Drosophila melanogaster: one gene and its partner. The protein of the gene in region 1 purifies or fractionates together with the protein of each later gene. This does not show direct contact. Each region holds a gene or a part of one and is shown in the gene's direction. Other genes may lie near its edges. The genes, in order: Acat1 and MESR6.

Evidence for each region.
Region 2: the proteins of Acat1 (region 1) and MESR6 purify together in Drosophila melanogaster (affinity purification with mass spectrometry, with the first as the bait; one large-scale study listed by BioGRID). This does not show direct contact.

Annotation. Positions count from the first base shown.
Region 1 is NC_004354.4:7,886,340-7,890,412, reverse strand, and holds Acat1 (Acetyl-CoA acetyltransferase 1), read left to right. Parts: upstream 1-1,627; 5' UTR 1,628-1,742; coding exon 1,743-2,975; 3' UTR 2,976-3,283; downstream 3,284-4,073. Other genes in the region: Nek2, read left to right, coding at 1-1,121.
Region 2 is NT_037436.4:19,090,899-19,095,556, forward strand, and holds MESR6 (misexpression suppressor of ras 6), read left to right. Parts: upstream 1-1,771; 5' UTR 1,772-1,911; coding exon 1,912-2,422; intron 2,423-2,500; coding exon 2,501-2,542; intron 2,543-2,764; coding exon 2,765-3,666; 3' UTR 3,667-3,862; downstream 3,863-4,658. Other genes in the region: CNPYb (canopy b), read right to left, coding at 4,579-4,658.

The DNA of each region.
Region 1 (4,073 bases):
AGCGCAAAATCTTTCCTGCCAAGAAACTACAGCTGTCGGATCCCTCTCTTTATGAAAGTATAAGGAGAGAGGAGCGAGCGGAGGAGAGGCAGGTGGAACTGGCGGAAGAGCGGCGCCGTAAAAAGGATCAGGAGCAGCAGAAAAGGGATCAGGAGCTTCTAAAGGAGGCCCCTAGCAGTCCTCGTGCTCTTACCCAAAACATATTCGATGAAGTACTAAAGACCCGTCTCCACGCCATTCGTGCCCAAGAATCCCTGTTGCAGCAGAAGCTCGAAGAGCTGCAGACCCGGGAGCAGGAGTTACAGCTGGCCGAACAGCGCGTGCAAACGCTGGAGCGGCAGATGCAGGAAAAACTTCTTCAGCAGGAGAAACACACTTGTAGTTGCAGACAGCCGATAGCTCCGCCCATTCCTCCTAGGAAGCCAGCGAAATCGCACCATGATGACACCTACTGCACTATCGAACTCAACGAGACGTCGCCCACGGTGGCTAAACTCAATTTAGCCACACTTCCGGCACCAAAATCGCTAAATACTCTGCGTAAGGTTACCTTCAAGTCGCCCCAAAAGTTTGTTACCTATGGTATCGAGAATATGCCCCCACCGGCGGTTAAACCGGCAGTGAATCCTCCGCCCACTGGCGTTCCCATGCAAATGAGCGTATCCAGCAATGATTCCGGTGACAGCCAGGCCTCCTCCACCCGCAGGAAATCTATACTCTCGCTTTTCGGGTTGAGTCGCGGATCCAAGGCGACATCCAAATCCTTGCCATCGGTCAACCAGGTAGCCCAAGCAGCTGCAACTCGCGTGCAGCGACCTCCTTTGGCCGTCAAGCCACCGATCACGCAGGAACAGCCGGCAGAAGTTCCACCAGTGGCCAATCTCTGGACAAAGGAGCAGAAGAAACAAGCCTTCGAGCTGCTGGCGGCCATGAATGCAGCCGAGAGGGAGGCAAGCGGAGGTGGAGTCGTTGGTTCTGGACCCGGAGGAGCACGTCGCCAGCATCTGCGGCAATCGGTGAGGGAACGGAATTCCACGCTGCAGCGGAACCGCATGCGGAGGTCTTTGGTGGTGGCCACTGGCCATCAGAAGCTAACAACGCGCGACCAGATGGTGATCTGATCAAATTGATCAGGAAAGATGTGCAGTCCAGGAGCCATGGCAACCATGGAGACTATGAGCGTTGTGATGTGGAATAAGTTCCGAAATATTTACATTTTTTTTATGCAAAAATTTTTTTGAATGCCATATTTTAAACACGTATTATTAGCATTAAGATTCCAGTTTTTTCAGCTGCCATTCATTGTGCAATTTGCATTAGTCTTAAAATAAATATTGATGAAATGAGATACATTTGTGTTTAAAATTTCAATTTTCGTGTTTTTATTTATTGTTGTTCGCTTGTAACCGTTAAGTTCAATTTACGCATTTTCAGTGCTGGGTATTGTAAAAAGAATATATAAACTTAGCATTGCATCTTTACAGCGTAGTTTTCAAGCAATATACTTAAAACAGCAAAAATTAAAAATTACATTTAAAGAATGCTAACTAATAGAAAATTACCAGTCGCTTTAATCTTATTTAACAGTTGCCAACACTTTTACCGCGCCAGCTGTTGCCTATCGATAGACCGATTACCGGTTTGTTACGCAAGCAACAGGTCTGGCGTGATTTCTGATTGGATTCTTGCCATTTACCTGTGTGATTGCTGTGCTAGTTAATACAAATTAATTAAATTCCAAGATGTCCGCCCGACTGCTGCAGGCCACGCGTCGCTGGAGCGCCCATCGCAACTACAGCTCCAAAATCGCCGAAGTTGTGGTGGTTTCGGCAGCCCGCACACCAATTGGCAGCTTCCAAAGTCAATTGGCCCCACTGACGGCTACCCAATTGGGAGCCCGTGCCATCGAGGCGGCCATCGAAAAGGCCGGAATTGCGAAGACCGATGTCCAGGAGGTGATTATGGGCAATGTGGTATCTGCTGGTCTGGGACAGGCCCCCGCCCGTCAGGCTGCCATCTTCGCCGGACTGCCCACCAATGTATGCTGCACCACGGTGAACAAGGTGTGCTCGTCGGGCATGAAGGCCGTTATGCTGGGCGCCCAATCCCTGATGCTCGGCTATGCTGATGTGGTCGTTGCCGGCGGTATGGAGTCCATGTCGAATGTTCCCTACTATCTGAAGAGGGGAGCCACGCCCTATGGCGGCGTCAATCTCACCGACGGCATTGTTTTCGATGGCCTCTGGGATGTGTACAACAAGTTCCACATGGGCAACTGTGCCGAAAATACGGCCAAAAAACTGGAGATCACACGTCAGCAGCAGGATGACTTTGCCATTGAATCATACAAGAGATCGGCTGCCGCGTGGGCCAACAAGGTGTTCCAGGACGAGATTGCCCCGGTGAAGATTCAGCAGAAGAGGAAGCCGGAGATCGTCATCTCAGAGGATGAGGAGTACAAGCGGGTGAATTTTGACAAGTTTGGACAGTTGGCCACCGTTTTCCAAAGGGAAAATGGCACTGTGACAGCCGGAAATGCATCCACCTTGAATGATGGCGGTGCCGCCGTGGTTTTGATGAGTGCCGAGGCAGCCCAGAAGGCGGGCATTAAGCCGCTGGCCAGGATTGTGGCCTTCCAGGATGCGGAGACCGATCCCATTGACTTCCCCATTGCCCCAGCTCTGGCCATTCCCAAATTACTGAAGCGTGCCGGCGTTCGCAAGGAAGACGTGGCCATGTGGGAGGTCAATGAGGCCTTCTCCCTGGTCGTTTTGGCCAATATCAAGAAACTGGATGTGGATCCAGCCAAGGTTAATGTTCATGGAGGTGCCGTGTCAATTGGCCATCCAATCGGCATGTCCGGAGCCCGTCTGGTGGCCCATCTTTCGCACAGCCTGAAGAAGGGCGAGCTGGGATGCGCCTCCATTTGCAATGGCGGCGGTGGAGCCTCCTCCATTCTCATCGAGAAGCTGTAAAGGTCACCTGGCGGACCTGCTCTCAACCAGAAATGCATTTACTACTGATCCATCGAGATTATTGTGGAAAGCTCTATGTTTTTTTTTAAATTGTTAAGTGTCTTGATTGCGCGTGGCCGCATTTAACGAACTATTGTGATTTGCATAATAAAATTATGAAACAGTCAATAATTATTATATGTATATCAAATCAGTGTTCTTCCATGACGGTAATAGGGTTCAAAGTCTAAACATCTTATATTTGTTCTGTGAAAAAAATGAATTAAGTGCTGAAAATGTTCTTTATTGTTGAATTTATATATATATATATATATGCCTATAAATTCACCATTTAATATATACCTAAAAAAATGATAATTTCGGCATTTAAGGATATTATACCCGTTACTCGTAAAGTAAAAGCATTAGCATTCTCTCTTGTTTTCATAATTTATTTAGTAATAATAAGTAAAATATTTTGTTCAGAGCCCTGCTCGTCTGGAGGCCAGAAGTTCGCATATGAAGACGACCAGCGACAGGAGATATAGTCCTGCGGTCAGGATGTAGACCGCCCACAGATCCGGCTGTCGGATGCGCTTCTCCCGGTACAGGAACCGACTGCGGAAGTACCGCTCGCTAGCCATTTGGCCCGCCCAGTGGTGCACCAGGCCAACGGATCGAATGGACATGACGAGGTGGTCCAAGTGGCTGGCCAGATGCGAGTGCTTCTGCAGATAAATGGCCAGCTGCTGCTCCAGAACGTCTTGCGGTATGATGTGATACGCTCCAGCCCGATGGCCCCGTTGGGTGAGATGGAGAAGTGCATCCTGGGAAATCAGGCCAAAGAAAAGTGGATGTGAGCCGGCTCCTTCTCGCAGCGTACACCGATCTAACGTGCGAAGCACCTCCTCCTCCCGTTCAGAGGTCACTATCACGGATTTGAGACCCAGCAGATCCTGCAGACTGGGCACCTCCCTCAGATCTTGCAACGTGGTCCGACCCATTACGGCCGCATAGTCGCCATGGGTTAGATCCTGCAGATTTCCTGGCAATCGCTGGTGCAGATGGTATCGCAGGATGAAGAACAACAGCGCCGAGTACATGGATCTAACGATCAGG
Region 2 (4,658 bases), on another chromosome or scaffold:
AACGAGAAGCCAAATTGCAGCCAATTGATCGAGTTAAGGGGCCGATGCTCTCGAAGTTGGCACTTCCGTTGCGTTATAAGGGCTGGGGAAAGCCCCCCAATCAAAAACAATTTCTCTCAGTGTGCCAGCGAGCTCGATAATTAGGCGGTCAACATAAGTAACATGGAGATATAGATCTTTCATGGAATCTTCGTCCTTGATTACTGCTCTAAAACCTATAATTGAGCATAATATTTTGGTCAGCAAATCAACTTATACTGGTAACAATTTGATAAGAAAATGTGTGAATTTTTAAGTACTATTTATTACTAGTTTCTAGTGATGCAGTTGTAGTTGTACGGCAATGAAATGAAAAACTTCAACGAGAGCAGACTTCAATCCTAAACGGATTAATTAAGATATCGTGGTAGTAAAGATTTTACATGGCAACGTGGTACTCGGCGTAATGGACGCCACCGAGGGTGTTTCGGCCCACGCGAAAACTTGGCCAAAAATAAAATGTAAACGGTAATAAAAGAAGAGTGTCGCCTATGTATGTACAGGGACACCCACAAAAGTCTATATACAGTTATATTTTTTGATAACGCTCGACGGCGGAAACATTGCACGCCAACGCCCGAGCAGCGCTGTCGGCGCTTTTCCAGACAACCGAGCCGCGCCATTCATTTCCACCAGCTGCAAAGGGCGAAAAAGACGAACGCAGATACTAGCGCTCAGATACAGATACAAAGTCGAACTCGCAGATACACAGACACACACACACACAGCGGCAGTGTTTTACGCATTCCAATCAGCCATGTGGGCGTCCGATTCCCTCCGCTGCAAATGCAAATGTATATATATACACATAGATATACAAATATATACCTACTACATATGTACAGATATAATAAAAACTTATGAATGAAAAGCTTCTGCGCAGCGTGGGCGGAACGCTGGGCCAGCTTTTTGGGGGCTAAAAGCTCCAGAGGCCGCTCAGCACCCCCCGACCCCCGCCCCCCATCACTCGCTCGATGGCAATCGCATTATGCCAGCGTCCAAGCTGCGGATACACACGGAATATTGATTGGAGGCAAAGTCTCCAAATCTGAAGTAACCTTGAAATGTGGGTGGCCGGTGGGCCGAAGGTTGAGGATAAAAGGGTCTTGTGGGGGGGGGGGGCGAGTTGCTGGAGGGGAGTGTGAGACATTTGGATTGCGGATGGCAAAGAGCTCGTGTGCTGGCTGAGCTTATAAAGTGCTGTTTAATTAATGAACACTGCTGTTCGAAAAATTGTTTCAAGAACTTGCAAATTGAAATTCAAATCTTTCCTTGGTTGCACGAGAGTCGCAAGAAGAAGGTTACTCCCTAGTGTCTCGACTATGAGATACTCTCTCCTTACTTCTTATTTTCGTTTACCACTATCAAAGTGATATGAATATAGAAATAGGTGTACTATTTTGATAATATTAAAATATTTTTTTTTTTAGTTTTTAATAAATTTTGTTATTTTTAACATTTTTAACATTTTCTAGATTCTACATTCTAGATTCTAGATTTCAAAGCGAATGCTTTAAAAAATCAAATTTATTTTAAGTTATATCAAAAAATACTCAACGTCTCAAGTAATTGACAAAATAAGGTACAATATATGGAAAATGTGTAGAAAAAACTTTTAAATTAAACGGACACAACTTTAATCGATACATCGATAGTTGGGTCCTATGTAATGTGACCTTATTATAGGGCTACCATTTTTAGCAATACGGGAAACTTGTGCTAGACAGCAATCTGGTCACACTGCCAAACAGCTGTTAATGGTCAAAGACCCCCAAAATATTAAATACAAAAGAAATTAAGTCTGCTTACCGTGCAAGTAATTGAACAGTGTGCTAAGGACCCAGTTGTACAGTCAAAGTAATCCCGAGGGAAATGGAATCGGATACGCTGGACCAGGAGAGTGCCGCGGCTGCTCTAAAAAAACTATCGCCAAGTGAAAGTCCCGAAAGTTCGAAGAAATGGGAGCCGACTTCGGGAGAGTGGGTTGCGGCGGGTGGGGGAGAAGAGGCGCCGCCAACAAAGAGACAAAAGACTGCAGACGAAAAGGAGGAGAATCGGGAGGAAGACGAGGATAGCGAGGAGAGCGTTGATGAGGAGGAGGATGATGGCGAGGGCATCGTCCAGATTGGCGGCACCATCAGCCCAAGGCATTTCCAGCGCATCCCCGTCTTTATCGTCGACTACCACAACGATGTGCTGGAGTTCATCTACCGCTGCTTTGCCACCCGCCACCTTCCGCTGCAGAACAACACCCTTGTCCACTTCGACTCGCATCCGGATCTGGTCATTCCACGGCACATTGCCGCCAGTTCCACCTACCAAAAGGAAACCATGTTAAATGAGCTTAGCATCGAGAACTGGATCATGCCCACACTTTATGCAGGTGAGGATTTCTATGGGGAATCGAAGAGAACTATATTATATAGAAATATAATATTAAATGCTATTATTTTATTTCTAGAAATAGAAAACAATGTAAAAGGACAAATAAAAAAGTTCTATGGTCTAATTTTACTAAGAACTTAATATTTAAAGATTATCTCTTAGTAACTGCTAAATATCCATTGAGTACTGTTGTCAAAAAGATTCCTTTCTACATTTAAAGGATTTCAAACCAAAAACTTATTAACTGTGATGAGTCTAATGACATTAATTAGCTATAATTGCATTTTCTTATAGAAATTAGTGTAAAATAATAACTTATTGCTATATTACTTGCTCTTAGGACATTTCAACCGCGTCGTGTGGCTGAAGAACTCATGGTGCCAGCAGCTGCCCACTGGCAGGCACGACTTTAAGGTTGGACAAAAGGACGATCGCATTGGAGTGGACTGTCCGTTGGACTACTTTATTGCCGACGGCAACTACTGCACTACGGAGGATCTGCAGGATGCCAAGAGCGTGGAGCTGCAGGTTCACGATGCAGACAACGAAAGCCTCAATCCGAACGAATTCCTAACGGAGAAGGACGCCAAGGGATTCGTGCTGGACATAGACCTCGACTTTTTCAGCACCTCCAACCCCTTCTTGGAAATATACAAGGATGCCGATTGCTACAATCAGCTAAAGGAGATCTTCCACTTCGAAAGCGTGGAGAAGGTGAAGAAGTCGGGCACGGCTACTATAGCAGATTATTTGGCCACGGCAGAGAGGCGACAGACTCAGTTGGATGCACTGAAGACGATTTTCTGGCATCTGGAGGAGGAGCGCAATTTCGAGGGACTGGAAAAGCCGGACGAGACCGTGGTCACGCCCGAAGTGTACGCCAAGATTGTGAAACTGGCCGATCAGCTGCAGGAGAAATATCCAGACGATGAAATCGACTGGCATTTGATCTTCGATTCGGGCAGCACCACCGATAATAATGGCTTGCCCCACCACATCAGCATCGCCGAAGAGTTGGAAACGTACTTTGCAAACTTCAAGCGTTTCTTACAGCGCCTGCCAGTTCCTCCAGTGGCCATTACAATGGCCCATTCCGCTCAAGATGACTACTGCCCCCAGGATCAGGTGGCATTCATTGAGGAATGCGTTCTACGCCTGCTTAAGGAGGTTTTTGGCGAAAGACTGCACGACAAAGCCATCCTGCACTATATGGACGATCCTTGGGATGTGATGAAGCTCTAAGCTTATGGATAACTAGGGGTTCTTTCGCCCGCCACTGCGAATTAGATTCTGAATTTACAAAACTCGTTTGGGCGGGAAAACTCCACGACTAAAAGATACCCGTAGTGATTTCGAATTAGAACCTAATGATGGAAAATCCAATACTAATTATAATAATATTTTTTACTTTGAAATATACGCGAAGTATTTATTACAGACAATTAAACAAACTCATTTAATGCAAATTGGGTATATTCAAAATAATTTGTTTTTAAACTTTGAAAGGTTTCGCGACGAGATACCTTTTAAACGACATATTAGGTGCCCCAGTAAAATCAAAATGTGTATGCACAGATAATCTATATTTAATCGTAAATACTAAATGTTAGTTATAAAATGTACATGTATTTAAGGATAACTCTCTTCCATTCAGTGCCGTAGGTTCCTAGAAAATGCGCAAAATCTCATTTATTGACATGGACATGGCATGAACACCTGAATTTCTGGCTGGGGGTTATGACTGGCCACCTCATTGAGGGCAGTCAACTTTTAATTGTCGACCCCAATTCGTGGCCGAAATCAATAAGCCAATGGCCCCAGGCGAAACTTTCAGTAGCATTCTGTGGCTCAGTCGTTGTGGAAGTTATACAGATTAGCTTGAGAGACATAGTGAGTTCACTTAAGCTAATTAAACACTTTTCGCTTTGTTCTATAGGTGGTAAAACTTAAAATGATTTCCATTTCGAAAAAAAGTAAGATCATTGGAATTTAAGTAACTACTACATTTAGTTTGTCAATGCTTGAGTTCATTCAAAAACTAAAATTTGTGTTACTTTTAAAAATTGCATCGACAACAGCTGCACTACATCTACATTTTTCGACATGGAATTACAATATGGTAGGGATTCCTAGGATATACTTGGATTATTTGGCTCACAGCTCCTCCTTGTCGCCCTTGGCTTTTTCCCTTTTGGCCTTTTTAGCCTCCGGAGGAGCAAGCTGCTCCTTGAGGC